Linked DNA regions of Ovis aries. The protein of the gene in region 6 binds, or shares a complex with, the protein of the main gene of each other region. Links are inferred from orthologs where the notes say so. Each region holds a gene or a part of one and is shown on either strand. Other genes may lie near its edges. The genes, in order: EXOSC2, EXOSC9, EXOSC8, EXOSC6, EXOSC1, EXOSC3 and EXOSC4.

Region 1 (4,653 bases), on a different chromosome or scaffold from region 6:
CCAGCACCTTCACTTACGTGCCTAACAGGAATCTGCGTAAGTTAGAAACCTCAAACAAAGCTTTCTAGCAGCCCCTTCAATTCCACTATAGCAAATGGATCCTCTCCCAACTGTCACCGGCCCAGGAAATAGCAACTCCACCCCTCCGGTTGCTCAAGCCACAGTCCTTGGAGTCTTTGGAGGAACCGTGTGTATCTCCCTCCTCCCCTCTCTCTCCTGCTCCAGGACAGGTCCAGCAGCAGATTCTAAGACCTCTACCTTACCAATGTAGGCAGAAAATAAAAAGCACCCCAAAGGAAGAAATAAAACGATCTCTTCTCACAGACATAGTCCTACGTGTAGAAAAGCCCACATACAAAATCCTACAGCTTTTCACAGTAAATACACGCAGAACACGAAATACACGCAGAACTGATCACTATTCCCCACTTCTATGGCTATCACCTTAGTCCAAGCCACCACCAACCGAGATGATGAGAACAGAGCAGGAATCTGGCTCCCTAACCCTGCCCCACCCCCGCCCCCAACAGCAGCCAGAGTGACTCCATTAAAACAGAGGGCGGCGGATCAGGTCCTTCTGCTCCAGGGCCTTCCTAGACCGCACAGAGTGGAAGTCAGAAACGTTTATCGTGGCTGCAGGGCATGCAGACTGCCTACCTCACCTCTCTGCATCTGCTCCTACTACTCGCCTGCTCACTCTGTTCCAACCCCACTGGCTCATGTTCTGGGGCTAACCTTTACTGAGCCCTCAAGGCAGACGGCTCTCTGTGTAAAGTACTTTATACACACTATTTCGGTGAATTCCAAGGAAAATCCTACCCAGGAGGTCAGGCAAGGTCTCATTTTGCAGGAGAGGGAACCCAAGTTTGAAGAGGTCAGATATCGTAGGGAAACCTTTGAAGCCTACCCTTACCTACAGTCATCTCTACCCTTCCTCCAGTCATGTTCCCGAAATCCCAGCCCTACAGAACGACAGGGCAGGCAGGGCTGGGGGTAGGGGGTGTGTCATGGCAGAAAAGACCTGGCTGTGCAACTCAGATGCCACAAAATACACACCTTTTGCTCTCACCTGGTTTTCAAAGCTTTTACACAGATCAACTTGTTTACTCTCTCCACAGAGCCAGCCACAGATGCAATGAGCTTCTCTTCCCCCATGTAGGTTCCATGGCCCCTGTTGCAACAGGAAGATACAAAGGATACCAGGGTAATATTTGAGGTGACCTCTAGCAGCCAGAACAATGTGTTCCTCAAATCTGATTCCTCCTGCCTCAAAGACAGGCTTTTCTGCTGGCTGCCACCTCTGCCTAAACACTCCTTCTTTAGAGTCCTACGTGGCCATCTCTTGCACTGTACTCAAGTCGACTCAAATGGCATTTTTCCACCAGGCCTTCCTCAACTCTCCCATTTGTAATAGTCACCCGCCCTGCGGCTGCCATCCCCACCATATTTCCAACTTATGCTCCACTTACCCTGCCTCACTTCTTTATTCTTTTCTACTGCATTTACCAGCAAATATTCTAAATAACTTGTTTGTTGTGCTTATTTCTCATCTGTCTGTCTCAGAACATAAAGTCCACCAGGACAGAGATTTCCTCTTTGTTCAGTTTATACCCCAACCACAAATAATATTTATGGACTGCATGAATAAAGGACTGAATCTTAAGATTTCCTGGGAACCAATAATCCCAAACTAAGAGGTTAAAGGGCAATGGAATAAACGCTGTACCTCTCTCATATGCATATGGGGGGAGGGCAGAGGCTGCCTGAGGTATGAGTAGTGTTGACCACTGTGATGGTGATAGAATGGTGAGTCTTACTTTTTTTCATAATCATTACCCCTCATGTAATCCTTCCCTGGTGGCTCAGACAGTAAAGAACCTGCCTGCAATGCCAGAGACCTGGGTTGGATCCCTGGGTGGTGAAGATCCCTGGAGAAGGGAATGCAACCCACTCCAGTATTCTAGCCTGGAGAATTCTATGGACAGAGGAATCTAGCGGGCTACAGTTCACCGGGTGGTAAAGGGTCGGACATGACTGAGGGACTAACTCTTCCACACTTTCACTTTCATGGAATCCTCACCATTCTCTGGAATAGTTATTTTACAGACGAGGAAACTGACCTCGGAGAGGTGATACAGCTAATATTGTGACGGCAGCAGGACCGGAACCCCAGCTGCCCTTAAGCTGGAGCCTGCCCTCAGACTCAAAGTTACCTATTCTGGTGCATGTAACATAATATATTTGCATGCCCCCTAAGCCCAAAATGGCAACCCACTCCAGTATTCTTGCCTGGAAAATACCATTGACGGAGGAGCCCGGTAGGCTACAGTCCATGCGGTCGCAAAGAGTCGGACACGACTGAGCGACTTCACTTTCTTTAAGCCCAAGCAATGGCTCGTTCCAAAACCGTGCCCCTGGCTAGGAGACGGAATGCTGAGGGCTAAGTGGAAGAAGTCAAAAACGCCCACCATCCCTTCCGCCGAAACCTGTGAGGAGGCCCTAGCTGCAGGTTCAACGAGGAAGGCCTCAGAATCGGGGCCTGAGGCACAGGACCCACGAGTCACAGCTACCAGTGATCGGGACAGGAAGGTTTCGGGGGAGCTGAGGCAGCTACAGACGGGGACATACAAGAAGCAGGAAGTAGGAAGTCCGAAGCCTCGAAAACGAGGCAACTGAGATGCTCCCAGATGCGCCCCGGGTACCGCGAGCACTTAGATGCAGAACACAGGCCCAGGTTTGATGCGGAAAGAGAGCAATGCAGCCGCCCCTGCCGCCCAGTGTCCCCACAACCCCACGTACCGCATGAAGCCTGTGTCCGTGGTGATCGTGTCCCCTGGCACCACTAGGTGCTTTTTACTCTCGCGGCCCAGGCTCTCGCTAAGAGGCTTCCGAGCGACGGGAAGCCTCATCTCCAACGCCATCTTGGCGCCAATAACTCGCGCAGGCGCAGCCCCACTCGGAGTCACGCTTTCCGTCTCCGCAATTTCCAGCCGTCGCTCATAGGGGCGGGGCCTCAGAACAGCCGCCAACGGGAACTCACGGTCTGGCCTCCATGTTGGCTACTGGCAACCATTAGGTTAACACGAAGGGAAGGAAGGAGTCAAGTTGCCATTTTTACTATTGGCAAGGCTGCTCTTGTCAAATAATAAAATCTCAGGTTGCATAGCGTTCGACTTTTCAGCAAAACTCTTGTGCTCATCTCACTTACTGTTTTCCAGGGTTATAAATAATTGTGAAGTGGGCCTCTGAGTTTCCTTCCAATTCAAAGCTGCTGAAATCTCTCTTCTTTGGTATGCGATTGACCAGGAGGATCAAGAGGAGAAAACACTATTTGGACAGAGGAAAGAGTCTCTTTTCGTACTGTTACTAGTAGCCCCTGTATTCTACATTACTGTCACTTCGTGAGTGCTAGTTCAGCACCAACCATCATCTACACCCCCAAACAGTGCTGCAGGTGCTGTTTCCATTCTTTCTTAAGCGAGCTGATTTCCCTGGTATTTCTTTTGGAAAAAGCAAGAAGCCGTCTAAGAACACATTTAAATCTTGCCAAGCGGGTATGTTTTGTCAGGGAGGACAAATGGACACAATACAAAGATTTTCGCGTACATTTACTCACACAGTGAAATGAGCCAGGAGCTGTCCTAAGGGTTCAGTGATGAACAGATGGAAGGATATGTGGTTTTATCTAGGCGTCAGGAGTATTTCGCTTGTCCCTCTCCCCAGGTGCTACCCTCTCCCTCACCCTTGGCCCTGCATGCTTTATAGCATTCGCAACAGACTTAGTTTCAACCTCAGGGAATTGGAGGTGATAATTCTTCATGCAGGCTTCCCAGGTAGCGCTAGTGGTAAAGAACCTGCCTGCCAATGCAGGAAACATAAGAGACACGAGTTCAATCCCTGGGTCGGAAAGATCCCCTGGAGGAGGGTACGGCAACCCACTTCAGTATTCTTGCCTGGAGAATCCCATGGACAGAGGGGCCTGGTGGGCTATGGTCTGTGGAGTCTCAGAGTCGGGAGTCGCAGAGTCAGGCAAGACTAAAGTGACTTAGCACAGCACAGCCCAGTACAGGGATTCTAAATAGGATGAAATAAAATAACTTGCATCAGCACCACTCACTGAGACCAGTAAATTAAGTCTGTTTTCTCCTGAAGACCCATCAGACCAATAGCCTGGTAAATCTTCAAAAGGATAGCATTTCTTTCACCTAAGCGTGGCTCACAACTACATTTGTCTAGAAAGCCAACCCTGTAAGGTAGTCAGTTATATAGATTCTAATTGCTCACAGGTCATCAGTAAGTGGACAGCCAGACACTTGCCCTCCTCCTTGCCTGGAGAAGGGGCTCAGTTCAGTTCAGTTCAGTCGCTCAGTCATGTCTGACTCTTTGTGACCCCATGGACTTCAGCATGCCAAGCCTCCCTGTCCATCACTATCTCCTGGAGTTTATTCAACCTCATCTCCATTGAGTCGGTGATGCCATCCAACCATCTCATAAGACAGAGGACAGAGGAGAAGGGGCTAGAGCCAAGAAAAGTATGAGAAAGGGTGCATCCGTTGAGTCTGCTCTCGACCAGAAGAGGGCAGTGGTGTCCTTTGAAGCAGTATAGCTCAGTCAGGCTGCCAGGCCTGGGAATGCTCCTAGACCACGTTCTAG
Region 2 (4,647 bases), on a different chromosome or scaffold from region 6:
GCTCAGTGTGGAATTAATTCCTGCTTTTAACTACAGACAGTCCTGGACTACAATGGTTCCACTTTCCATTTTTCCATGGCTCGAAAGCAATATGTAGAAACCATACTTACAAGTTTTCATCTTTCCCCAGGCAATGGATATGTAGTCAGATACTCTATGGTCATGTCAAATACTGGTAGCAACCACAGCTCCCTTAGGCATCCAGGAGTCCACCTGAAATGCAAGAAATCCTGGGTTTGATTCTTGGGTCAGGAAAATCCCCTGGAAAACGAAATGGCAACCCACTCGTTTTCTTGCCTGGGAAATCCCACAGACACATGAGTTTGGCTGGCTACTGTCCATGGGGTCACAGGAGTTGGACACGACTTAGTGGCTAAACCACCAACAAACAACTGATACAACCGTTTTGTACCCATAAATCTATGTTGCTTTTCACATTCAGGACAATATTCAGTACATTGCACGTAATATTTAACACTTTATTATAAAGTAGTCTTTGTCTTGGATGACTTTGCACAACTGTAGGCTAATGAAGGTGTTCTGAGCAAGTTTAAGCCAGGCTGGGCTAACCCATGACATTCTTAGGTTAGGTGTATTAATACATTTTCGACTTAACATGGCTTTATCTGCACATAACTCTACCCTAAGTGGAGGAAGATCTGTACTTCTTGATTCTGTCTCTCCCCAAAAGCCAAGTGGTTGGCAGACGAACACACTAAAAGTCCTCTACGCCTGCTATAAAAGGAGGTTAATACCTTAAAATAACTGGGGAGGCTGTAAGAAATAAACAGAAAATTTTGTTTCAGTCAGTGGTAGGTATAACACGATCAGTTACAAACTGCGAATATTCTCAATTCTTGTCAGCTTTTCAAGGCTTACGAGGTTACACGGTCAGCCGGTAGTACCCTAATTCACCATCTCAACTTTCTTCCTTCCCCTACTCTTCACTTAACGGCGTTTCTCCAATTCTAGTGTTTCTCCAATGAATGTGTAGCAGCTTTTTAGTAGCCACATCTCAACCTCCTCATCTGTCAAGCAGCAATAATACCGTCTAGTCTACTCCGCTAGAACTGAAGATAGAAGTGTGAGAGTGCTCTACTGATATTAATTTCTATCAGTGGTGGTTTTGTCGGGGTCCTTTTCTCGCTTGCTGCTGCTGCTGCTGCTAAGTCGCTTCAGTCGTGTCCGACTCTGTGCGACCCAATGGACGGCAGCTCACCAGGCTCCCTCATCCTTAGGATTCTCCAGGCAAAAACACTGGAGTGGGTTGCCATTTCCTTCTCCAACGCATGAAAGTGAGAAGTGAAAGTGAAGTCGCTCAGTCGCGTCCGACTCTTCGTGACCCCATGGACAGCAGCCCACCAGGCTCCTCCGTCCATGGGATTTTCCAGGCAAGAGTACTGGAGTGGGTTGCCACTGCTTTCTCCGCCTATTCTCCTTACTTTGTAATAAAAGAAACAGATCTTTCCGGTTTTCTCTGAGTTTTGCCTCCTTTTGCTTCACAGCAGGGCGAATTCAGTCAGGAAGGCGTAACTTTGCTTTGAGCTTGCGCACTAGCGACGCCCCGCTAGCCTCCGCTTTCTCAGCTTCAGCCACCGCGCTTTGATGACGTCAATACTCTGCGCCGCGGTGCGAGCTGGGCGCGCGTGAAGAGTTTCGAGTTCTGTTTTCCCTGCGAATTCCAGTACTTGGTGGTCTCCTGATTTGACAGTATGAAGGAAACGCCACTGTCAAACTGCGAGCGCCGCTTTCTACTCCGCGCCATTGAAGAGAAGAAGGTAAACTAGGAATTAGCGCCGCGTCAGCGGTTGGGTTGCAGGCGGCTCGCAGCCTTGCGGCCTGGATGCTTGGACTTAGCTCTCGTAGGCCCGGGGAGCCCCAGGAGTAGCCGCCAGTGCTTCCCCAAGCCCCCAGTATTTATTTGGCTCAGGTGGGGTCTTTTCAAGGCTCGGGTCATGCCAGCGACTGTCAGTACCCGGGCACCTAGTTTCCACTCTCCCATGTGGAGTAGTTAGTATCACACTTACCTCTAAGTTCTTAGCCCGGGGCCTGTCTAGCAAAGAGTGATAGATATTTGTATTAGGAATAAACGAATGAATGTTCTGCTTACAGCGGCTGGATGGCAGACAAACCTATGATTATAGGAACATCAAGATTTCATTTGGAACAGATTATGGGTGCTGCATTGTGGAGCTTGGGAAAACAAGGTAACAATTCAAATTAGGTATAAGCTCAATAGAAATTTAAAAGAACTTTATTGGCTCAGTTTACAAAGCATAAGAAGTCTGAACAGTACTTTGTTTAGCTGCCCCAAATAAGTATATTTTCTTTAATGTAGGACTTTAGTTTTATAACTACACTTTATATTTTTAATCATGAATATATTTTCTGTCAACACGAGCCACACATAGTTGTTTCTGATCTCTGTGAATCATATATGCAGCCAGCAGTGATTGCACTGAATTTGTTCCTTAGACATTTGTTGTCATTGCGAAGGGCCTACTTTTCTTCTTTTCCTGAGTGATGTGAGAGTTTGATTTTTAATGTTCATTTGGAAGTTGTGGAGATATTGGTCAGATAATGTTGGTGAGCTATGCCATATGAAAACTTAAGGTGTCTCAAGTTGCATGTCCGATTGTATCACTAAATATTTGTGAAAAGAGGAGTAATGGTCATTGACGCTTAAAAATCTGTGGAATAGTAAATATTGTAATAAATGTTTTTGTGTATGCCAATATATGTTTTGTTTCTGTATATATTCTACTACTGTACTTTGTGTGTAACTTCAATCATAGGGATATATCATACTGAACATTTAGTTAACAGATTTGCACTTTATTTTTGCAGAGTTCTTGGACAAGTTTCCTGTGAACTTGTTTCTCCAAAACTCAATAGGGCAACAGAAGGTATTCTTTTTTTTAACCTTGAACTCTCGCAGATGGCTGCCCCAGCTTTTGAACCTGGCAGGTATTTAAATCTATTTTTTTTAAAAAACTGCTTTAACCAGAGGAAAGCCTAACAGGGATGAGCTATTGTTTTAATGCCTGGTGTTACATTTCTTGACATTAGCCCATTCCTGTTTTCACAGGCAGTCAGATCTCTTGGTGAAGTTGAATCGCCTCTTGGAAAGATGTCTAAGAAATTCGAAGTGTATAGACACTGAATCTCTGTGTGTTGTTGCTGGTGAAAAGGTGGGCAGTATACCCAAAATTCTTAATCTTGGGATAAGTGCTGTTGATTTGTGGATCTCTCTACCTATACTTTCATTCCCAGAGCTTCAGTTAATTCAGTTTTATTCTGGTTCACTTCAGATGTTACGGAGTGCTGTCTATAGATCTTCCTATAGAATCTCTCTTTGGAGGGACAAAAAACATTGGTGAAAATAGTAGCTTAGATTTGCATACAAATTCTTTATTCAAAGAACTTGTGGTTTTTACATATTCTCATGTCTCTTTCTTATGTTATAAGTGAGTTGATGGAAGCAGGTAATAGTCTCCTTTTTTATGGATGAAGAACTAAAGAACTGATTAAATCCTTCATTTGGATAAGTTCATTGACCTACACAGGGCCTCATAGTGAGTCACTGGTAGTCTGACATTGGAAATATTACTGTCAACATATTGTGCTGCTTAATAATATTAAAACTTTATTCTTGATTAGGGTATTTTAACCATCTTTTGGCTTCAGAGAAGTCACTTTAATCTTTCCACATCACATACTTGAATATTATACTTCCTTTACTTGTAAGGTTATCATAAGTATTGTCCAGGAACCTAAGTGTTTGAGTTTTTTAAGTTCGGAGACAATAAAAATACATTAGTCTTAGAAGTTAGGGAAATCTTAGTACTAAACATAAGAGTGGTTCTGTTCAGTTGGAGTATATATTTTACTGTTGTCAGATGACTCATAGAAAGGTGAACTATTGGTATTTCAGGTGTTGGTCTGGATTAATATTTTTCTAAATATGTTTTTACTGGTACATTGGAAGGAATAAAGGCATGTTTTAACAGCAAGAGAAAAATCTGCACACAGTGTTATCTTTCCTTACAAATAAAGTGTGCTTGTGACCAGTTAGGATTTATTTTTGTTTTAAATTCACATTTAGGTTTGGCAAATACGCGTGGACCTACATTTATTAAATCATGATGGAAATATTATCGATGCTGCCAGCATTGCTGCAATTGTAGCCTTATGTCACTTCCGAAGGCCTGATGTCTCTGTTCAAGGAGATGAAGTAACATTGGTAAGCTCCCGTGATGTGAGCCAGGCTCCTTCTTAAGAATGAATGACGTGCAGGACAACTTGTTTTAAATGAAGTTTTATTGTAAATGGCAGTTAGATATGTTCTAAAATTTGTTCACAAGGCAAAAACTACATGTGCTCATAATTGCCCTTGAAATCTCTTAAATCGCCTATACAGAAGTTTTGTCGACAGAAGTACAGGCTATCTTGATATTTTAGAATAGAACTAGATTGGATTGAGCATTAGATAAAGTGGTTGGCTTTTGCTTAGGGGGTGTGTGAGAAATATACAGTTTTCAGTATTTTCACAGGGAGATGCTTTGTCTTATTCTTATTCTGTGGCAAAAGCCATCAGAAACTCCTGGAAAGATTGTTAAAACATATTGCTAGTGTCCATCCTCAGAG
Region 3 (4,427 bases), on a different chromosome or scaffold from region 6:
AATACCTTAAAATTTCTCAAATTACAGCCAAATTCTTTAAAAATTAAAGGCAGTGAGGATTTTTTAAAAAATTGTTTCAGCAGATTTGCAAATGTTCACAAATTATAATTAAGTCATTAAACTTGGGTTGTATTATCTAAAACTCAAAGGTTAAAACTTGGGAAATGAAAACAAATACTAAAACACCTGACTGCCCAATCAACAGTAGAATTATAGATGTATATTATAATCTACTAAGTATATGAAGCTAACTTAGTAACTCAAATCTTGGTAGTAAGTATATTAAACCTACCGCTTTAATTCCACAAATTACTGTAGTATTTCCAAGCTTCACTAAAGAAGAACCATCTGCGGTACCAATCGAACCTGAAAAGTATTTTTTTAAAATGAAAATGTTTTCTTCTTTTATGTATGATTTTTATCTCTAAATATCTAAGATGTCCGTGAAAATTTACTCCTTGCTTGAGTCTTGGTAAAATTATAGTTGACCCTTAAACAACATGGGCTTGAACTATACAGGTCCACTTATACAAAGATTATTTTCAATACATACTTCCACAGTACTACGTGATCCACAGTTGGTTGAATCTAAGGATGCTGAACCTTGGATACGGAGTGCCAATCCATAACGGTAAGATTATACTTGGATTTTCAACTCTGTGAAGGTCAGTGCTCCTAACCCCCTCACTGTTCAAGGGTCAACCGAATTGTTTTAGGAATTATTCATTTTCTTGATTTTGAGTGAATCATTTGTCATTTAATCACAGGGCTGTTATTAAAATTTCTTGACAAAAATCACTGTAATCCCTTAGACCTGGTAGAATTTGTCTAAAACACCGTTTAAATGGCTCAGAGGCTAAAACCTGGGAATGTCATATGGGTAAAATTGGAAAATTCCATGTTTGGCAACAGAAGATTTAATAATGTAAGATATAGAAGGAAACCAAACCTTACAAGTTTTGAAGGGGGAAAACACTTCAGAGTTACTTTAAAATTTAATATGAACATAAAAACTGAAAGGATGTGCTTAGCTGCTCAGTCGTATGTGACTCTTTTGTGACCCCATGAACTGTAGCCTGCCAGGTTCCTCTGTCTATGGGATTTTCCAGGCAAGAATACTGCAGTGGGTTGCTATTTCCTTCCCCTGGAGATCTTCCCCACCCAAGGATCAAACCTGTCTCCTGCATTGCAGGTAGATTCTTGATGCACCAAGACATTTGGGAAGCCCACTAATGAGAGGAGAGTGAGTTAAAAAAAACTCTACAAATAAAAAGTTGCTATTAAGAAAAAAAATTCTATTTTCAGAACTGAAGCAACTTCAACATTCTTTTAGAACTCAAAGTACTCTCACCTACGTTGACAGTTGTGGTTCTGAATTCACCAAGTTCTCTGCCATCGGGACGGCAATTCTCTTTCTAAGTAAATATATGAAAGTAGATTACAGCTACATGTATATCTTACACAGACCAAGGAAAACACACTGAACCTCATTAATTCAAATAAATTAATCTGTATTACTTTAAAATTGTCTTTTAAAAACTGAAGTATACTTAGAACATTAGGTGAATAACATGATTAATACTTGTATTTATGAAAAAAGCATATGATACCATTATCAAAGGGCATCACATAATCACCTTTACTTACCAGAAATCTCCTGTAATACTCCAGAGGTTCCACAGTTCTGAAAGACATGAGAAAAATGAGATAAATTATAAATCAATATAAATCCAGAAACACAACAATCTTAATAGTGGGGTGATGGAGCAGAAATCTCCAAAATTTGTAACTAAGTTTCTGTTATGAATTCTAGTTTATGTTGCCACATGTTGCTAATTATAAAAAGTAGCTACTTTTGCAATAACAATCACACTCGAAGACTGATTTTAATTCTGCTTTAAACAAGTATAAGGATCGAGACCAAAACCCTAGGCCTCTTTAAAAAGAGAATGAATCCAGGTGTGCATCACTCATACTTTGAAGCAGGAATACTTCGTTAGTAGGAAAAAAAAAAAAATTACGCATTTATTTTCACTACCCCGACTTAAATTTAGCATATTCTTCGATTACAAGCATAGGCAATAAACCACTATAATATTAGCCGTACCTGCGACTTTAACAACCACAGATTAAGATGTTTTCGTTTTTACTTTATAGTTGCCTAAGGTCGGTAAAGCGTATGCCCGCAATGCGGGAGACCCAGGTTCGATTCCTGGGTCGGGAAGATCCCCTGGAGAAGGAAATGGCAATCCACTCCAGCGCTCTTGCCTGGAAAATCCCATGGATGGAGGAGCCTGACAGGCTACAGTCCATGGGACCCGCAAAGAGTCGGACACGACTGAGCGACCTGACTTTATGGTAAGTGTAAGACGTATCGTTACTTCGAATTTCAGGAGTTACTTTAGACTTCCCACTAGGCCTTATCTAAGAAAGTTAATTTCAAAACAGATATTTCACTGTGTCAAAAACCCGGAGTTTATACAAATACATGGTCGTTTCAATATAACTGGTTTCCTTTGGAATCCTATTTATTGCATCCATTTAAAACTCGACTCAGAACGAAAAGCTATAGCCTTCCCCAGAGAGCAGCACCGAAAACGCTTAAGGAAAACCTTTCTAACGAGGCAGAATGCTTTTACACATAAACTACTGGGCAGAGAAAGCAGGGCGCCCTGAGGTTTTGAAGCAACGCTTTCTACAAGATTACAAGTGTCTCTCCTGTGCAGCAAAGTCCACTACACACAAAGCCTAGCGCTCGCAGCGGGTACCTGCTCAACACAGTACTTCCTATCACTGGGGAGAAGATGCGCCCTTTCCCTTCACTACGACCACCTTCAGTTCTCCCGCCCAACGTCTCCTTCTGCAGTGGAAACAAATGGGAACCAGGTGGGGTGGCCTCCCGATGAGAAAATCCCAAGGGTAGGGAAGCCGCCGACCGCCAGGCTACGAACTCGCGCCCGCCAGCCTACCGCACTCACTTGAACCCAGCCGCCATCTTCCGCCCGCCGATCTGCGCCTGCGCCCGCGCCCGCGCCTGCGTATCACCACCCCTCCGGCCCGCGCTGCTGTTTCGCTTCAGCACTTTCAACACTGATTCTGCTACCTGATATGTAGAAGGCAGGGTTGTATGGACCAGAGTAGAGGTAGAAGAGGTGAGGGTGGTTTCCCGCATGGCTTCGCTTCGACCACCCCTAGCCAGTCGCCCCTTTAGGTTTTCTTGACCTTGACGTTTTTGGCGAATCGGCTTTTACGAAAGTTATGAGTGTTTGTTTAGAAACAGTTTGATAGTTCAAGCGTGCGTGCTTAGTCTCTTCTGTAGAATCAGACTTTTCGCGACCCGATGGACTATAACCCACCAGCCTCTTCTGTCCTTGGAATTCTCCAGGCAAGAATACTAAACTGCGAAGATCTTCCCAAACCAGGAGTGGAACCCATGTCTCCTGCGTCTTCTGCATTGAAGGCGGATTCTTTATCGCTGAACCACCAAGGAAGCCCACCATTCAAAAGTTTCAGAGAAAACCGACGGTATAGCAAAAAATCAAGTGTTGAGCGTGGAGCATTATTCCAGTGTTTCCGCGTTCTTTCCCCCTCCTCCTTAGGCTGAGCCCTGGGCTTGCCTTCTTCCAGGTAAAAGCCTCCTGCTAGAGCACCGAAAATTTAAAAATTCTGTGCGCTGGTTATCCACATCAGGTTACATTACGCAGCTGCCAAGAGTGGGCTCCAAAGAAACAACTTTCGTTGTAGACTGTGTCGTGGCTCAAAACCTCCACTCCACCTCCTTCCTAGAAAGGGTTGCTGATAAAACGCAGGACATCCAATTCAATTTGAATGTCAGGTGAACAAAGAGTACACGCAAAATTGTTCATGTTGTTAGTTGTTACCAGAAGCTGGGGGAGAACTGGGAAAGGTTTAGCAAGAGGCGGTAGTGATGGTTGCAGGAAGCTGTGAGTGCAGTCAATGTCCCTGTAGTAGACACATAAACTGGTTAAAATGGGAAATTTGATCAGTTTTTCAAAGTTAATATAACAAAAAGCTCTTAAATGGGCGAACTTTGAGTGTGTGTTATACTTTAATAGTGCTGTTGAAAACCGATCCGTTGCTATCTGAAATTCAATTTAAGTGGACATCCGTTTATTTCTCCTTGCTGATTTTGACAACCCTACTGCGTTTGAACAGAGCCGCTCGCACACAACATAGTCTCGTCACGCGGTGGCGCTGTGGGCAGCGCGGGTCCCCGGGCGTGACCGGGTCTGGCCGCGAGGTGGCGCTGTGGGCGGCGGGCGCCCAGCTGGCATGGCCTCTCTGCGGGCTGGAGGCGGGGCTGCGCGGCCGCATTTCCGCGTGTGTGTAAACGCGGGATAGGGCGGCTGGCGGCCCGGCATGGAGGATGGCTCCGGTCTTGCTGCAGCTGGCGGTGCTCGGCGTGG
Region 4 (3,360 bases), on a different chromosome or scaffold from region 6:
GGTTACCATTTTTACTTTGTTTCTATCTTGTTTCTTTCTGCTGTGATTCTGTATTTCAGATCTGATTTGGAAATATATATTATGTCACTGGGGTCAAATAAAATTTGTATTTTTCCCCCTAGTCAGGGATTCTTGGTGTGGTCCCCAGGCCTCATTCTGGTCTCTCAGCTGCCTGAGCCAGCCTTTCCTACAGCTGAGCAGGCCCCTAAGACACACAAGCTCAGGTTACACCAAGCTGGTGCAGGGAGGACCCCAGGCGGCCCTTTCGCCAACTCAGACCTGAGCACAAACCTGCAGGGCTCAGGAGCCACACAGGGCAGAGCCCACCCTCCTGGTCAGACAGACCCGCTCTGCCCTACAGAATGGCATCTCCAGCATCCAGAAACTCTCACTCCTGGCAGTTCAAGTGCCCTCTCACTAGTGGACCAGCAACCCCAGGACACATTAAAGATAATGCTTGTCCCAAGCCCTGAGAACACAGTCCCCAGCTCAGAAGAGCCTTATTCATTAAAGTCGGTACCAAAAACAACAGAATGTTTCAGATTATAAAAAGAGTTTTTGTTTGGGTTCAGATATACGTGGAAGGCACAGCCTCCTTGTCCCCGCTCTCAAAAGCAGCCCAGTTATTCAGGAGGGAGCCCCCGGCTGGCCTGCATAGGCATCATTTTCCCGATGAGTACAGCGGAAGTCCTTTCCAACTTAGGAGTCAAGATGCGCTGGCAGGTTTCTTCAACTGGATCGTGGCTGGGAGTCAACTCAATTAGAAAAGTTTCTTTAACGAAGCAGTCTGGAAAGAATCGCTCCAACACGGCTATTCTGAGCACGCCTCCGCAGATCCTCCGCGGTGCTCCCGGTTCTCAGCTCGGCGCACGCATCTGCAGGCCGACGGCGCGGGTCCTTGTGGCGGCAGCTGCGGGTCGGTCCTTGGCGTCCGTCGTTGCTCGGGTCTCTGGCTCAGAGGGGCGCAGCGGCACCCCTCCGGCGGGCGGCCCGCACCAAGCACTGCTGGAGAACGGGGTAGAGGCGCTGGCAGCCCTCGAGCCCCAGGCGCACGGCCTCCGCCCAGCTCTCGGTCGGGCCGCCCTCCCCGCTGCCCAGCAGCCCAGCCACCTGGTTGAGCACCGGCATGAGCGCCACGGTGAGGCCGGCGGCGGCGCGCTCCTCCTCCAGCAGCGTGGGGTCCAGCAGCCAGGCGGGCGCGGGCGCCGGCGCGCGGCTCAGGCCGCAGCCCACCACCAGGTCGTACATCTCGACGCCCGCGTCGGCCAGGGCGAGCGCGGCGGCTGTGAGCGCGGCGGCCAGCGCCGAGCCGCCGTCCTCCAGCAGCAGCGCCGACACCTCCAGCTGCGCGCGCGGGTAGCGGCCCAGGCGCACGGCCGGCTCGAGCGCCTCCTGCAGCGCCAGCGCCAGCTCGCGCTCCTCGCCGCCGCCCGGTGGGGCGCGGCGCCGGCGGCCCGAGAAGGGCGCGCGGCGGAAGTCGCAGAGCAGGCGGCCGCGCAGCGCCGCGGGGGCCTCGCCGCCCGCCCCGGCCGGGCCGCCGCCGCGCTCACCGCCCTCGGCCGGGCGCGGGCCCGACACGGCGCACAGCACCTTGGTGCCGCCCGCCTCCAGGTAGGCCGAGCCCTTGGCCTGGCTCAGCAGCCCGGCGCGCGCGTACACCGGCCGCAGCCGTGCCGGGTCGCGAGGGGCCGGCGCCTCGCCCTCGTCGGCCGCGTACAGCTGCGGCGGCTGCGACTCCTCGGGCCCGCGGATGCGGCGGTGGTCCCCGGGCATGGCGGCGCTGCTGCCGGCCGGCTCCGCGGGTCAGCGGGGCCCCGCGCGCCGGCGCTTCCGCCCGCCTGCCCGGCCGCGCGAGGGTGCGCGGGAGAGCGGCTGGCGCCACACCGCCCCCTGCCGCCCCGGAGGGGGACGGTGCGCGTCGCGGAGCCCCGGGCCACCGCGAGGACGGCCAGAGCTGGGTGCATGGGTGGATCAGACGGGCCTGCAGAAGTGGGGTCTAGACCGGCCCCGCTGACCTCTAGCCTTCACGCCAGCGCAAGCCCAGCGCGTGGGTCTTCTTCCTCTCACTTGTGAAGCTGTAATCGGTCCTACACTAGTGACACAACCGTATACATGTTCCCCCGCCGCCTTGTCCAAGAGGGCCCTTTGGTACTGCGCCCTGGCTGGCACAGCTTGTGGAGTGCTTTTGGAACTCGCTCCCGCGCTGCGGACTGTGTGAGCTTTGTATCCCTCACACTCCTCACCTGGCTTGCTTTTTTGCAGCCAGGGCCTCAGCACCCTTCCTGTTTCTCCTCTTCTTCACCCCCAGGCCTTGTGACTGGTGGTCTCTGCTTCTTCTCTCAGCACAAACCTGCTTTTCTGCTCCCTCCAAGTCAGCAGGGCTGAGAATGATTCAGGGCCAGCCTGCTGTACCCAGGGGACTTGAAGTCAGCCAGAGAGGGCACAACTAAATACTACACACTACAGCTCCCACACCCAGCTGTCTTCAGGCTGGGGTAAATGGACAGAACCAGGTCAGTCTCCATCTTCACCGTCCAAGTTAGGTCCTGAAACCTGGAATGACCTGGCAGTCAAGGGTGTTGGGAGGAGGCAACTGATGTTCCCTAAAAACCTCCTATACCAAGGAATGTCTCTGACCTCACATCCAACCTGTACATCAGGAGAGGAAAAGACATAGGAGACTTATCAACGAGAATGTTCTTCTGTAAAAAGCACCAAAAACGAAGACGCTCTCCGCTGCCAGCAACCCCAGGGACCATCTTCATCACCCTATTCTGTGAGCCATCCCCATAGATGTTTTGACGCAAATCCAGGCACCATTATTCTCAAAGTTCAGGGGTCTGGGGCTGGACTCAGCAAGGGCCGCAACCAGAAACCAGTTGGAACCACAGCCACTAGTCTACAGACACCCAGGGAAGCACAAGTTATCACAGGAGGGAGGGTGAGAAGGGAGGAGGAGTAAAAGAATCACGTGGCGGTATCCTGTCAAGTATTGCACATGGCCTTTTTATTCTCTGCAGCAGAAAATGATTCTTCCCTTGAGGCCCATAGCACTGAGTCTGCAAAGAACTCTCTACAGACACAAGTGTGATGATGAAAAAGCAATCCTGGGGTAGTAGTTCTAGGTGGACGGCACGGATGTGCTCAGGGCAGAAATGTAACATGGGCGTTGAGTCACAGGCTGGCTCTCAGGTGAAGTTCCGGTTACTGCTGGGTTAGGACAGATGGGACTGTTTAAAGGTCTCAAGATTCAAACGTCCTTGTGGTGGAAGGAGAGCTGGCTGGATGGGTGTGCCTGGGTCGGGGAGCGGGGGAGATGCCTCCTGGCGCACCTGCCCTTCCCTCTCAGTTCTTCACGTC
Region 5 (4,524 bases), on a different chromosome or scaffold from region 6:
CACCATTCGCCTGTGGCTACTGACTACTTGAAATGGAGCTAGCAGAACTGAGGAAATAAATGTTAAATTTGTTTTAATTTTATTGAAATTTAAATGACGTTATGTGACTATTGGTTACCATATTGGACAGTGCAGTTCTATAAGGATCATGATTTCAACACTGGATGGTATCCTAAGCAGGGAGGTTAGGACCAACTTACCTTGCAGGTTACAATAGCTCCTACATCTGGCAGTAATTGGGACTCCGTTTCTCTCATCACAGATATGACAGGAAGCTGCAGAGAGAAAAATAAAACATGAATATTCTGGCTAAGCCTTGGATAAAGGTATTTGAGACTTGACAGTAAAATGGGAAACCTTGGGCCACAGTAGACGTCACATGGGCAGGTGGACAACAGATTCATTTGTAGCCCAGAGCAGAAAGCCTTAGAAATTTTAGGATACAGGAGGGCCAAGGGGCCACAGAAAGAAAGGTGTAAGAAGATATAATCTTACCACTTCAGATGAGTTCTGAGTTTTTTTGTGATTTTCTTAAGAGTTTTTCCACATACAACTACATTGCCTGTAATCATGGATAATTTAACTCTTTCCTCCAAAGTTACATCTTTCTTTTGGTTTGTCATTTTATTGGACAGGCTAGAATTTTCAAATAAATGTTATATAACAGTGGCCATACTTGTTTACTTCTATTTAACACTTGTAGAGTTTCCTCTTTGAGCATGGTACTGGCTATTGGTGCAGGAAAGATATTTTTGAGCCCGATCTTTTCTTAACCTTTCCCTTGTTCAATATGCTTCAGCTCTCCTGGTCTTTTTTCAGTTTCACCAATTCACGAAATTTTTTCCCATCTCAGGATCTCTTTTCAACCTGCTCTTTCTGCTCACTCACTCAACTCTTATTTATCCTTTAGATTCAGACTAAATATCACTTCTGACTAGGCTGGATTTACCTATTACATGTTCTCATGGTACTCTGTAATATTGTTTCAGAGCAGCCATCATATGTGTAAGTATACCTTCATTTGAGCATTTATTTGCTTAGTTTGTATCTGTACCCCTTGATAGCAGAGACCACATATATTTGGCTCATTATCACATCCCACAGCTATAAAATGAACAAACTTTCAAATCCTAGGGAAATTCCCCAAATTGATCAAATACAAAAGTCTCTCATTTTATAGGTAAGAACCTATAAAGGGAGTGAAAGTTTCTTACCTAAGGCAGAATTAAGGTTTAGTCAATACTGAATCCTCTTTCTACTATGCTCCCAGTTTCTAGGGCGTTCCTGGTGGCTCAGCTGATAAAGAATAATCTGCCTGCAATGTCAGAGACCTGGGTTCGATCCCTGGGTTGGAAAGATCCCCTGGAGAAGGGAATGGCTACCCACTCCAGTATTCTGGCCTGGAGAATTCCACGGACTGTATAGAGATTTGGGCTTCCCTCATAGCTCAGTCAGTAAAGAATCTGCCTGTAATGCAGGAGACCTGGGTTCAATTCCTGCGTTGGGAAGATCCCCTGGAGCAGGAAATGGCAATCCACTCCAGTATTATTGTCTGGAAAATCCTATAGACAGAGGAGCCTGGTGGGCTACAGTCCATGAGGTCTCAAGTGTCAGACACGACTTAGCGACTAAACCCATGCCCCCCACCACCTCCAGTCTTTAAGCTGCTCCTCCAAGAACTGCTTATCTGATCCCAAGCTAATAATGGATCAGCCTCTGGAACCAGGGAGAATAATATTATTCATACATTCAATAAACATCTACTGAGCATTTACCTCGCGCTACGTGCATAGTAGTGGAAGGGTCTAATGGGGAACTTATAACTGAGTGTTAAATTGCATGCTGAACTAAGTGCTTAGAAAGGGAGTAACAGCTCTTGGGACCTCCCTGGTGGTCCCATGGTTAAGACTCTGACCTTTCACTGCAGGGGGGATGGGTTCCTTCCAAGATCCTGCATGCTGCCTGGCAAAACAAACAGGCAAACTGACCCCAACAGTTCTTTGTGAGTGTTAAAACAAACAAAAAACAAAACTCCCTTTTTTGACTAGTGGTGTCTATAGGGCTTCTCTGAGAAAGTGATAACTAGTGAGGTTATCTAAAGGGTGGTGGTGGTTTAGTCGCTCAGTCGTGTCCGACTCTTGCGACCCCATGAACTGTAACCCGCCAGGTTCCTCTGTCCATGGGATTTTCCAGGCAAGAATACTGAAATGTGTTGCCATTCCCTTCTCCTGGGTCTTCCCGACCCAGGGATCGAGCCCGCGTCTCCTGCAATGGTGGTGGATTCTCTTCCGCTGAGTAGGTAGGATTTAATCGGGCTAAGGAAGAGAGGAGCGTGTTCCAGACAGACGGCGTGTGTACAAAGACTCTGTGGTCCACTGGCGATATTGAAAAAGACAGTAGGACTTCTGCAAAGAGTGAGGCGCGGGTAGCGGAGCGAAATGAAGCCAGAGAAGCAGGCGACATTCGGCCAGGATTCAGCTCACAGCACGGCTGAGCTCGCCTCCGTTCTTTCCCCAGCTTGCTTCCCGGAGGGTCAGCAACACAGCCAAGCCAGACAACACAATTAATTTGTGATGGCTAAGTGTCCAGCAGCGGGGATCCCAGCTGTCAGAAACTCAGAGACTAACTCCTTCTCCTAAACCAGGCACTAAAGACGCGCTCGTAGGACCCTGCCTAAAGACAGTGAAATCAAAGGCAGCGTAAGACAAAGAGACAGAAGAGAAGGGAAGCTGCCCCATTTACCGCGCCGTTCTCGCTGGTCTTTGTCAAGCAGCCAGCAAGCGACGAAAAGATGTAGCCGTGCCGGGTGTAGGTGCCGCTGCCCGGGCTGCCCTCCTCCAAGTTACACAGACGTTCGCCTGCGGAAAAAACGCTGCATCAGCCACGGGTCCGCTGAAGCTGTTGGTCGTCTGGCCTTCTTGCCCCTGTCTCTGCCCACGATTTGCTCTAGATACCGCTGACTTACCGGGGATGCAGTACCTCACGGGTGGCGCCATGACTGCCACTGTTCCAAATCCCGAGGAAAATGAGGCCGACCTCTCATTGGCCAATATCCAGGTGCAGTTACGCAGTAAGAAACGCGCTAATTGGTGTGCTCTATCTGTAATCTCCGGAAGCGCTTCCAGAAGACGTAAACTCCATTTCCCAGGTTGCATCGGGACGAATTCGGGGGCGGGGCTTCGGAACTCTCGCGCTTGCGCCTGTGGACAAGGATGGGCGGGCGGTGGGTCCGGGTCTGCAGGCTGGACCTGTGGGCGGTGGGCCATGGTTGGTTGGATTGAGCAGGGCCGGTGGACGCCGAGCTGGAGGGGGTGGCAGTGAGCTGCGGCGGAGGCTGCGGGGTTCGACTTGGCTGATTGAGGAATCGGCCAGCGGCAGGTAAGAGCGAAGCTGCGGCCTTTTCTGCCCAGTCCTGTCGCTTTTAATAGGGTCGGGCCCTGTTCCCGGGCCTTGTGAGCCCGAGTTCCTGCTCTGCACGGCCGTGCCCTCGAACCGGACGGAACACACCCTCCGGGCAGCCCTGAGGCGTGGAGCTGGAAGGTCACCCCAGCCAACTCGCCCATTTCACAGATTTGGAAATTCATCCCCAGGGATAGGATTAGAATTGTACAGTATCTCTAAAATCAAGATAGAGACCGAACGGGTACTCAAGTTATTTTTTACTTTCAGTCTATCATTCTTTGTTGAGAAATAAAACGTTTCCTCAGTTTCTGTAACTGCAGTCTCCAATCTTGCGGAAGCGTGCTAGTCTGGAAGGAAAGTCTGCATGAATTAGTGTTGCTTTTACTGATGATTGACACTTGCTGCTTCAGGCAGTAAACACCCTGAAAACAGCATCTTTGTTCAAATGAGTTATGTCGACTTTGTTTCCTCTGCTCTTCGGTGTCTTTGGAATCTATGTGTGTCCTCCCACCCCTAATAGCCCCCATGTCCAGTTTCCCCTTGGGAAAGAGTTGGTGACTGAGAGCCTTGGGGAGAGGAGAGTGCTGTGACCTACACTCCCCTCTGAACTGGTGGCACGTGTCACTATGTTGGTAGGACTGAGGGATCAGAGTGTTCAAGGCTTGTGTTGGGGGTGATGCTGCTGCTGCTGCTAAGTTGGTTCAGTCGTGTCTGACTCTGTGGGACCCCATAGACGGCAGCCTAGCAGGCTCCCGCGTCCCTGGGATTCTCCAGGCAAGAACACTGGAGTGGGTTGCCGCTTCCTTCTCCCATGCAGGAAAGTGAAAAGTGAAAGTAAAGTTGCTCAGTCTGTCTGACTCTTAGCTACCCCATGGATTGCAGCCTACCAGGCTCCTCCATCCATGGGATTTTCCAGGCAAGAGTACTGGAGTGGGTTGCCATTGCCTTCTCTGTTTGGAGTGATAGGGAAACTCTTATTTCCTGCCCTGTTCACTTCCATCACCACCCTTCACCCCCAACACACAGTTTTTTGAGTTCTGCTTTATCTCAGTTTCCTGAGATGAAAACTTATGTTCACTTGTGGTCCCATGGACTACATATTTCTTCCCTGGCATTCCCATA
Region 6 (4,376 bases):
TAACAGAAGCAGAAGATATTAAGAAGAGGTGGCAAGAATACACAGAAGAACTGTACAAAAAAGATCTTCACGACCCAGATAATCATGATGATGTGATCACTCATCTAGAGCCAGACATCCTGGAATGTGAAGTCAAGTGGGCCTTAGAAAGCATCGCTACGAACAAAGCTAGTGGAGGAGATGGCATTCAATTGAGCTATTTCAAATCCTGAAAGATGATGCTGTGAAAGTGCTACACTCAATATGCCAGCAAATTTGGAAAACTCAGCAGTGGCCACAGGACTAGAAAAGGTCAGTGTTCATTCCAATCCCAAAGAAAGGCAATGCCAAAGAATGCTCCAACTACCACACAATTGCACTCATCTCACATGCTAGTAACGTAATGCTCAAAATTCTCCAAGCCAGGCTTTAGCAATATTTGAACCGTGAACTTCCTGATGTTCAAGCTAGTTTTAGAAAAGGCAGAGGAACCAGAGATCAAATTGCCAACATCTCCTGGATCATGGAAAAAGCAAGAGAGTTCCAGAAAAACATCTATTTCTGCTTTATTGACTATGCCAAAGCCTTTGACTGTGTGGATCACAATAAACTGTGGGAAATTCTGAAAGAGATGGGAATACCAGACCACCTGGTATTTCAAGTGAGAGCCTTGAAAGTCAGAAGGGGAGACCCAATGTGCTATTGATTTGCAATTCAGCTGCTCTTCACCTGGGCAACTAAAGCGTGCTCCAAGGAAAACAGCAGCAAAGATTTAACTGCAATTTCTGATTTTCCCAGGCCGTGGAGGGGAAGCTTAGTTATATGGAAATATGCAAGTGATATGTAAATATTTTCGGGGGAGGTGGGAAGGAAACGCAAACCAAAATGTCAACATTCATTTTCATTCATTCATTCACCAAGTATTATTTATTTCGTGCCAGGACCTGCGCTCGAAGAAAAAAAGTGAGAACTATCTGACAGCCTAGCATAAAGACAAACAGGGAGCAAAACTAATGCTTTTCATTTTCTTTCTATTCTTCTCTGGTCTTCCACAACGTGAATAGATAAAAGTTTCCTATGCAAAAGAAAATACTGAATACTCTTCCTGGTAAAAGATTAGCGGTCCCTCAGCACGTAGAGTCAGAAGACAGAGCCAACTCCCGAAGGCCTGCTCAGTTCCCAGGGTTTCCACGAAATGAAAGATGCTGGGGTCTCATACCCCACTGTGCATCTCAGACACCGGGGGAGGAGGCTCCGCAACTGACTCAAGCTAGCGTTTCTCCTGCGGACCTGCGAACAGACTGCTGGATGGGCGGCCAGCTAAAGACACGATCATAGCCATCTTGAGGGAACCCGCTAATCCAGAGCGATCGGACTTTGAAAACAGGTTCAAATCCCACAAGCCTGTGCTGCCGGAAACGGAAAGTCTTGGGCGAGCTGGCGATTGGACGCAGAGCCGGAAGCCGGAAACTGTATAGTGACGCCCGCGATGGCTGAAGTAGCGGGTGTTGCAGCGGAGTCCCTGGCTGGCTGCAGGGCGCGGGCAGCGCGGACGGTGCTAGATCAAGTGGTGCTGCCGGGCGAAGAGCTGCTGCTGCCAGATCAGGAGGACGGAGAAGGCTCAGGAGGTGCAGGGGAGCGACCGCTGCGCCTAAACGCCGCAGCGCGCTCCCGGGGACGCGTCGTGTGCGGCCCAGGCTTGCGGCGCTGCGGCGACCGACTGCTGGTCACCAAGTGCGGCCGGCTCCGTCACAAGGAACCCGGCAGTGGCAGCGGTGGTGGCGTTTACTGGGTGGACTCGCAGCAGAAGCGGGTAAGCTGGGACTCTGGAGGGGTTGTCCGGCTGGGAGAAGGCTGAGGATACTCTTCGGAAGCACGGAAGGGGCCCTGGAGCCTTCCTCTGATAAGGCTAGAGAAGAGCCGCTGGAGTCTTTGTGCTTACTTCTACAACTCCTTTAGAGGGACCGTGAACAACTGGAACGTGGCCCTAGATGGGCGACCAGGCGAGAAAAGACCCTGGGGAATATAAGGGCACATAAGAGGATGAAGACTGAGGCGTGGTCATTGTCTTCAAAACCTTATAGGTCAGGGAGCAGCAGACTTGCCTTTCGGTGTTCCAAAGACTCAAGTTCAATGAGTGGATGTCACAGGGAGTTGTTTCTCTTAGAATAAATAAGAAATTTCACATAGGAAGAAACTAACAACAGAATGACCTTGCTTGGTTGTGGGGACCCTTGTATCACTGCTGCTGCTAAGTGGCTTCAGTCGTGTCCGACTCTGTGCGACCCCAAAGACGGCAGCCTACCAGGCTCCTCCGTCCCTGGGATTCTCCTAGCAAGAATACTGGAGTGGGTTGCCATTTCCTTCTCCAATGCATGAAAGTGAAAGTGAAGTCGCTTAGTCGTGTCCGACTTCTAGGGATCCCAGGGACTGCAGGCTACCAGGTTCCTCCGTCCATGAGATTTTCCAGGCAAGACTACTGGAGTGGGTTGCTATTGCCTTCTCCCCCTGTATCACTGAACTCTTGCAAACCAACTCTAGGGAGTTTCTGATAAGAATTCAGAAGAGATAAGATGATACACTTAAATGAACACTGTTAGAAGCTGGAAATCTGAGAGTTTATCATGTGATTGGTTTTCTTTTAAGGGAGAGTGACATATGATCAGGTTTGTTGTAAGGTTTGTATTGATTTGTAAACATGGATTTTATAATATTTTCTAAATATTTAAATTACAAACATAACAACCGCTGAGGACTTGTTGAAGATGTCTGAAAAATGATTGTCATGTATGGTGGTTCTCTCATTTTTTGTAGTATGTCCCGGTGAAAGGAGACCATGTGATTGGCATAGTGACAGCTAAGTCTGGAGACATATTCAAGGTTGATGTTGGAGGGAGTGAGCCAGCTTCCCTGTCTTACTTGGCATTTGAAGGTGCCACTAAAAGAAACAGACCTAATGTGCAGGTAACAACAGGACCTTTGGTTTCAAAAGTAGCAAATATCCATTTCCTAAACAGTCATATATCCAGAAGGCTACCGGAACTGTCTTATTTTCCTAGTGCTATTGGGTGATCTTGGAGCATCTTTGTAATCACTCCAGGCTTCAAGAGTTCTTTCAGATGCTCCACCTCTGGGACCAAAGCCACATACTTAGTTTACATTTGCTATGTTGGGGGATATTTTCATCTCTGCTGAAAGGTTATATCTGTTATTTGTTATATCCATATACACTGGACAAGAAGTAAGCCAGAGGCTTGGGGAGGAAGGAACAGTGGTGGAAATTGCCATACACTCATCCGTCTTTTCTGGATGTGGGTCCCGGGACTTGTATCTCACAGCTTCAGTTACATCACTGTTTCCCAACAGTCCCATTTTGCAGCTGACAGTAGTCGTCTTGCTACTTCAAGTTTCAGCTTGGGCTTTTCAGGTAGCATGGCCACTCTTCCTGTCCATCCAAGCCAGAAATTTGGAGGTTTCTTTGCCTTTTCTCACTCATCCTTCATGTTGAGTCTCTCTGATTTGCCACATGTGCACCCCTTTATCTCCACTTTGCAAGTTCAGGCCTTGGCTGTCTCTTGATCGGACTTTAAGTCAGTGACCTCCTTAGTAACATCCTGCCTGTACACCTCTGCCCCTTCATCCAGGCTTTTAAGAGCTGACAGCCTCTCATACCCCTTTCTGCAAAAGAAAAAGTTCTTCAAAGCCTACATGTTACTATTTCCAGAGGTCTTCTCTCATCCATAATTATATCTCCATGTGGCCCTGCCTGAATTACACTGAACTATTTAAGAGCACCACTGAATTCATAATCTCTGCTCCTGTACCTTTGTTTATGCTGTTCCCTCTGTCTGGATTGCTTTATCCTCTTCTCAACCTGTGGAACACATTCTGGTCTTTCAAGACCCAGGCTGAGCACCACTAACCCTCTGTAAAAACACCCCTAATTTTCAGTCATTTTTCTTACTGGATTCAGCTGTGAATGAAGTTTGTTTACATATATATCTCCACTGCCCTCTGAAAGTAAATGCTCTAAAAGGCAGAGAATGTTCTTTCTAGTTCCTGAGTCACCAGCAGTTGTTGGTACTTAATGAAACAAGTTTACTCTTCATTTCCATAGTTGGTGTCATTTTGAAGTTCAACTTTTGAGGCTTTTAAAGTAATTATTGTATGGAGAACAGTCAATGAATTACTAATATTCTGTTTTGCTTTGAATAATTTGCATGCCAGGGGTTGTTTCTTCTGTAATCCCCTAAAGCAGTGCTGTGCAATAAAACTTTGTGGTGATGCTAGTGTTTTACATGCACTGAGTATTATGGGAGCCACTAAGTCACACATGGCTATTGAGCATTTCAAATATGGCTAATGCAACTGAAAAATTGCATTTTAAGTACATCGTT
Region 7 (4,228 bases), on a different chromosome or scaffold from region 6:
ATAACCAAAACCAGCCGAGTGGAATCAGGCATGTGTCCAGAACCAAGATCACTGGGGTCCGATGACCACAGGGAAGAAGGTGCATGAAACTACTGGCCAAGGGGTTTCAAAGGAGCTGGGGTGTGTTGAGTAGAAAGTGGGAAGCACCCCTGTCTGGGCCAGGAGGTGCCTGGGATATTAGAGAAGGAGCAGCCCCTTGGTTCAGGCTGCAGGGCCTGGTGGTGAGGGCTCAGTCAAGTCTGAGGTGGAAGAAGGGGGAGCCTGAAAGAGGAAGGTGCAGTGGTGGGGCAGCAGGCAGTGTCTGTCTTAGGGTCAGGACTGAGAAGACGCCAGGTGACATTATGTGTCTGTTGTACTTTTGGAGCCCAAGGGAAGTAGCAGGACAGGCCCAAAAGGCTTCTAGAGGGCAAGAGACCCTTCAGTCCCAGCCACAATCCAGAGGATGTGGGACACGGCCCCCACATGACCATAGTGAATACCCAAAGCCACCCCTCAGGACTTGTGCTCAGGACTCTGGATGTGTTGGGATGAGAATGACAGACTCCATGGTCGTGGGGCATGGCTCGTTATACCAGGCTGTGTCTCACTGCCCAGCAATCCCTTCTTGGCCCAGGCTGCTCACTTCATCCAGGGACATCCGCCTTCTTCAGGGTGCTCACCTGAAGCACCCTGATGAGCAGGGTGAGCAGCACTGAGGCTGCAAGGGGTGTGTAGTGCATGTCTTGGGGGCGGACCCTTAGTCATTGCTAGAGCCAGCACCAGGCCAGGATCCAAGGGCAAGGAAGTGCGGTGGGGAAGAGATAAAAGTACAGTGAAAGGTGCTTAGGTTTTATTCTGGGCTTGGGTGGCCCTGTGCTCAGTCCCCCAGCAAGACAGAGGCCTCTTGTACATGCTGCCGGACCACACGGTCCAGTACGGTATGTACATCCCGGGAAGCCCGGGCAGCGGCCTCTAGCACTTGCTCCAGGTGGTCCTCATGCAGTCTGGCATCCATCTCAAGCAGTGCAATCTGGCCTGAGGCTGGTAGCAAGGCCAGGGCCAGCTGGGGGCCCCCAGCTGCTTCCTCCACATGGCTGAGGTCTGCCAAAGCTGTTCCATCCACAAAGCCAGCTGAGCAGGCACACACAAAGTCCCGCATGGGTATCCCCGCGTCCAACACTGCCAGCGTGGCTGCATTCACACAAGCTGCGTAGGTCCCGCCGTCTGCCTGCAGCACCTGCAGGAACCCCCCAGTGGCATGAGTTTCAAGCTGCTGAACCCCAACTCCTCCTTTCTCTCTCCCCTCCACAGGCTGAGGGCTGCTGCCTGCTCACCTGCACATAGATGTCAATCTGGGAGCGTGGGTGCAGCTGTGTAAGGATGGCTGCCTCGAAGGTCTGACGCAGGTGCAGACCCATCTCACAGGACTTGCGGTCCCCGTGTGGCCGCCGCTTGCGCTCCCCTGTGCTGAAGGTTGCAGAACTGTACTGACAGTTCACCAGGGCCCGGTCAGGCAGGGCTCGTGCCCGGGAGCCTCTGATCTGGGGTAGGGTGGGGGAGAACACATGAGCCAGGCCCTTCCTCCCTCTACCTCCAACATCCCAACAAGCAACCACTTTACCTGCAAAACAACACAGCCCGAGGGAGGGCCATTGGGCCAGGCTCTAAGCCACCATCGTCCCTGGATCTCTCTCCTGACAGGCCTCCCTGTTTCCCCTCTTGACTCGTCCTCTCTCGACCCCATGCTTCCTTTGTATGAGAATCTGTTTACATATATCAAGTCTGATTCTACCTCCTCTGCACAATACATATACTGCTTACCTTATAAAGAGTTCCCATCACGCGTGAGATAAAAATCCTAAATCTTTTCCCTGTTTACAAAGGTCCTGGGTTCCTGCTTCCCTAGAAATCCCTCAGTCTCATTTGGAATTACCACCCTCTTCCCCATCACCAGTCTTTCTGCTCTGCAAGAGTGCCATGCTTACTTCTACCTCTCTGGCCTTAAGTCTCCAGCGCTGGAGTGGTGATAAACCCAAGCGGTTTTATTAACACTCTCTGTCTTCACGGAGTTTATGTTCCAGTGAGGAGACAAACAGTGAGAAATAAGTTAAACTGATGTCTGAGGAGGCGGGTGCGGGAAACCAGATAAGTGTGTGGATGTAAAGGAGGGAACTTGACTTGTAAAGGGTAGGTAAGGTGGTCTGGGGTGGGATGGGGTGAGGTGTCACCCAGAGGTGACGTCGGAGTGGAGCTGAGAGGTGAGGGAGCCAGTGAGAGCGGCCCTGGCGGTTTTAGGAGTAACAAAGCGGTGTAGCGAGCGCTGGAGAAAGGCAGGGACCGTCGTGCAAGACACTGTTAGGACTTTGGCCGCGGCCCCACAAGGCGGCGCGCGCCAGCCTCACCCCCGAGGCCTCTACTCAGCCAGGTAGCCCCTCACAGCCCGTAGTGGCCACCCCCGGAGGAAGCCCGGCTCGCGCGCGCCCACTCGCCTCGTGAGGCCCGTAGACCACCGCCAGCGCCTTGGTATTGCCCTGTTCGATGTAGGCCGAACCGTCGGCCTGCGCGAATACACCCATCCGCGCCTGGATCTTGCGCAGCTCCCCAGCGCGCCGCCCGTCCACTCGGTAGCCCTGGTCCGATAGGAGCTCCAGCCCAGCCATGCCGCCCGGGCGCTAGCCAGGCTTGAGCGCCCGGCAGAACTACACTTCCCGGTAGAATTGACTCCCCACTTCCGATTCCCCAGGACTACGGTTTCCGGGGCACCGACTCCGACTTCCGGTTCCGGACCCCTGCGATTCTCCCAGAGTTCCCGAGGGCACCACATCTCATTTCCGGTCCTTGCGGAACTGCGGCTGTGGGCCCGGGGAGGGACCCTTGCGGCCTTTTGGGGTACGCACTCGCGCCTGCAGGGCTGGAGGCATGCCGGACGTGGAGTCGCCGTGTCGTTTCTTCCCGGGTTGGTCATGGGGACGGCTCCCTCTACCATCCGGGCCTGCCCGCCCCGCGCCGCCGCCTCTCCCTCGGCCTCTCCACTGAGCCCCGCGCTTCCCGCGCCGCTGGCGCTCCTTTACTTCTGCTTGACGCTTGGTATCTCCCTCGAGGTTTGCGGGCGATAGCCGCCACTGCTGGTCTTAAGTTCTTCCGCGGTCATAAATGCAGGCCTTCTCCCAAGCTGAGATACACTCTCTGTTCGCAGTTGTTTTTTTTTTTTCTTTAAACCGTTTAGTTTTTACATTTGTCCGTTTAAAAAGCAGACACATTTATGTTGTACGTACACATGGTCAAATTTTTTAGTTTCAATTTTCCATGTTGCCTTGTTTCTCTGCACTCATCCCCCTATCTACTATAGCTTAAAAAATGGCTCCGTTTTTCTTCACACTCATAATTACATCCAGGTCACACACAGACACGTGTATATGCAGCTGTACATGTACAGCCATATAGTGGCCTTTGGAACTCTTATTTTTTAAAATGCGATTGTTTCATACACTTTTGCATTTAACTCAAAAATATAAAATCTGTCCAAGTAATCCTGTGGAACTCATAGTTTTTTGGTTGATACGAGTATCAAGTAATAAGTAGAATGTACCCAGCAACCACCCCATTGTGGGCAGTGGATGTGTGTCCCGGGGTTGAGTGAAGGCTGTGTGGGAGTTAGATTCTCCGTCCTTTCCCACCTGGAATAAATGTTAAAAGTTTTTTACATAATCCTTCCCTCTTCAGAGGGTTACTGCCATTCCTCTTGCATTTCGTGGCCTGATGTCAAATGCCCTGGAACAGCAGAGGGGCTCACAGGAGGGGGGATGAGATGTTTTCCTCCACAGCTGCCTCCTGTTTCCAGATACCATTTGCTTGGTGGTCAAGGTCACCATCAGGGAGCTCATTACCCTCCTCATTTGCATTATTCGGGCTTCTCTGGTGGCTCGGCTGGTAAAGAATCTACCTGCAGTGGAGGAGACCTGGGTTGGGAAGATCCCCTGGAGAAGGAAATGGCAACCCACTCCAGTCTTCTTGCTTGGAGAATCTTATGGACAGAGGAGACTGGCGGGCTATAGCCCATGGGGTTGTAAGAGTCAGACACAACTTTAGGGCATTATTCAGCCCCTCTGCAGTGCTTAGAAACCAGATCCCATGCTTCAGGTTTGAATAGGGAAGGATAAATCAGCAGGGCTGTGACACTGACTATAGGGAGGCGACATTCACTGGGGCTGAGGGCGGTGTGCACTCGGGGCTTTCCTGTCTGTGGTCA

The links.
Region 1: EXOSC3 (region 6) and EXOSC2 share a complex: the UniProt entries of both Homo sapiens proteins name them as parts of the RNA exosome core complex. The link is inferred for Ovis aries from reciprocal best matches to the Homo sapiens genes EXOSC3 and EXOSC2.
Region 2: EXOSC3 (region 6) and EXOSC9 share a complex: the UniProt entries of both Homo sapiens proteins name them as parts of the RNA exosome core complex. The link is inferred for Ovis aries from reciprocal best matches to the Homo sapiens genes EXOSC3 and EXOSC9.
Region 3: EXOSC3 (region 6) and EXOSC8 share a complex: the UniProt entries of both Homo sapiens proteins name them as parts of the RNA exosome core complex. The link is inferred for Ovis aries from reciprocal best matches to the Homo sapiens genes EXOSC3 and EXOSC8.
Region 4: EXOSC3 (region 6) and EXOSC6 share a complex: the UniProt entries of both Homo sapiens proteins name them as parts of the RNA exosome core complex. The link is inferred for Ovis aries from reciprocal best matches to the Homo sapiens genes EXOSC3 and EXOSC6.
Region 5: EXOSC3 (region 6) and EXOSC1 share a complex: the UniProt entries of both Homo sapiens proteins name them as parts of the RNA exosome core complex. The link is inferred for Ovis aries from reciprocal best matches to the Homo sapiens genes EXOSC3 and EXOSC1.
Region 7: EXOSC3 (region 6) and EXOSC4 share a complex: the UniProt entries of both Homo sapiens proteins name them as parts of the RNA exosome core complex. The link is inferred for Ovis aries from reciprocal best matches to the Homo sapiens genes EXOSC3 and EXOSC4.

The regions. Positions count from the first base shown.
Region 1 is NC_056056.1:5,933,617-5,938,269, forward strand, and holds the start of EXOSC2 (exosome complex component RRP4), read right to left. Parts: upstream 2,939-4,653; 5' UTR 2,922-2,938; coding exon 2,800-2,921; intron 1,172-2,799; coding exon 1,070-1,171; intron 1-1,069. UniProt on the Homo sapiens protein: Non-catalytic component of the RNA exosome complex which has 3'->5' exoribonuclease activity and participates in a multitude of cellular RNA processing and degradation events.
Region 2 is NC_056059.1:3,768,861-3,773,507, reverse strand, and holds the start of EXOSC9 (exosome complex component RRP45), read left to right. Parts: upstream 1-1,610; 5' UTR 1,611-1,712; coding exon 1,713-1,778; intron 1,779-2,112; coding exon 2,113-2,207; intron 2,208-2,847; coding exon 2,848-2,967; intron 2,968-3,088; coding exon 3,089-3,191; intron 3,192-4,105; coding exon 4,106-4,243; intron 4,244-4,647. UniProt on the Homo sapiens protein: Non-catalytic component of the RNA exosome complex which has 3'->5' exoribonuclease activity and participates in a multitude of cellular RNA processing and degradation events.
Region 3 is NC_056063.1:24,979,716-24,984,142, forward strand, and holds the start of EXOSC8 (exosome complex component RRP43), read right to left. Parts: upstream 3,021-4,427; 5' UTR 2,996-3,020; coding exon 2,979-2,995; intron 1,685-2,978; coding exon 1,648-1,684; intron 1,416-1,647; coding exon 1,352-1,415; intron 367-1,351; coding exon 293-366; intron 1-292. Other genes in the region: ALG5 (dolichyl-phosphate beta-glucosyltransferase), read left to right, coding at 4,388-4,427. UniProt on the Homo sapiens protein: Non-catalytic component of the RNA exosome complex which has 3'->5' exoribonuclease activity and participates in a multitude of cellular RNA processing and degradation events.
Region 4 is NC_056067.1:1,305,169-1,308,528, reverse strand, and holds EXOSC6 (exosome complex component MTR3), read right to left. Parts: upstream 1,817-3,360; 5' UTR 1,774-1,816; coding exon 955-1,773; 3' UTR 537-954; downstream 1-536. UniProt on the Homo sapiens protein: Non-catalytic component of the RNA exosome complex which has 3'->5' exoribonuclease activity and participates in a multitude of cellular RNA processing and degradation events.
Region 5 is NC_056075.1:18,489,533-18,494,056, forward strand, and holds the start of EXOSC1 (exosome complex component CSL4), read right to left. Parts: upstream 3,028-4,524; 5' UTR 2,997-3,027; coding exon 2,966-2,996; intron 2,859-2,965; coding exon 2,743-2,858; intron 276-2,742; coding exon 201-275; intron 1-200. UniProt on the Homo sapiens protein: Non-catalytic component of the RNA exosome complex which has 3'->5' exoribonuclease activity and participates in a multitude of cellular RNA processing and degradation events.
Region 6 is NC_056055.1:50,987,027-50,991,402, forward strand, and holds the start of EXOSC3 (exosome complex component RRP40), read left to right. Parts: upstream 1-1,453; 5' UTR 1,454-1,468; coding exon 1,469-1,792; intron 1,793-2,793; coding exon 2,794-2,943; intron 2,944-4,376. UniProt on the Homo sapiens protein: Non-catalytic component of the RNA exosome complex which has 3'->5' exoribonuclease activity and participates in a multitude of cellular RNA processing and degradation events.
Region 7 is NC_056062.1:13,709,992-13,714,219, forward strand, and holds EXOSC4 (exosome complex component RRP41), read right to left. Parts: upstream 2,699-4,228; 5' UTR 2,640-2,698; coding exon 2,469-2,639; exon of another isoform or gene 1,521-2,468; coding exon 1,314-1,520; exon of another isoform or gene 1,291-1,313; intron 1,217-1,290; coding exon 857-1,216; 3' UTR 808-856; downstream 1-807. UniProt on the Homo sapiens protein: Non-catalytic component of the RNA exosome complex which has 3'->5' exoribonuclease activity and participates in a multitude of cellular RNA processing and degradation events.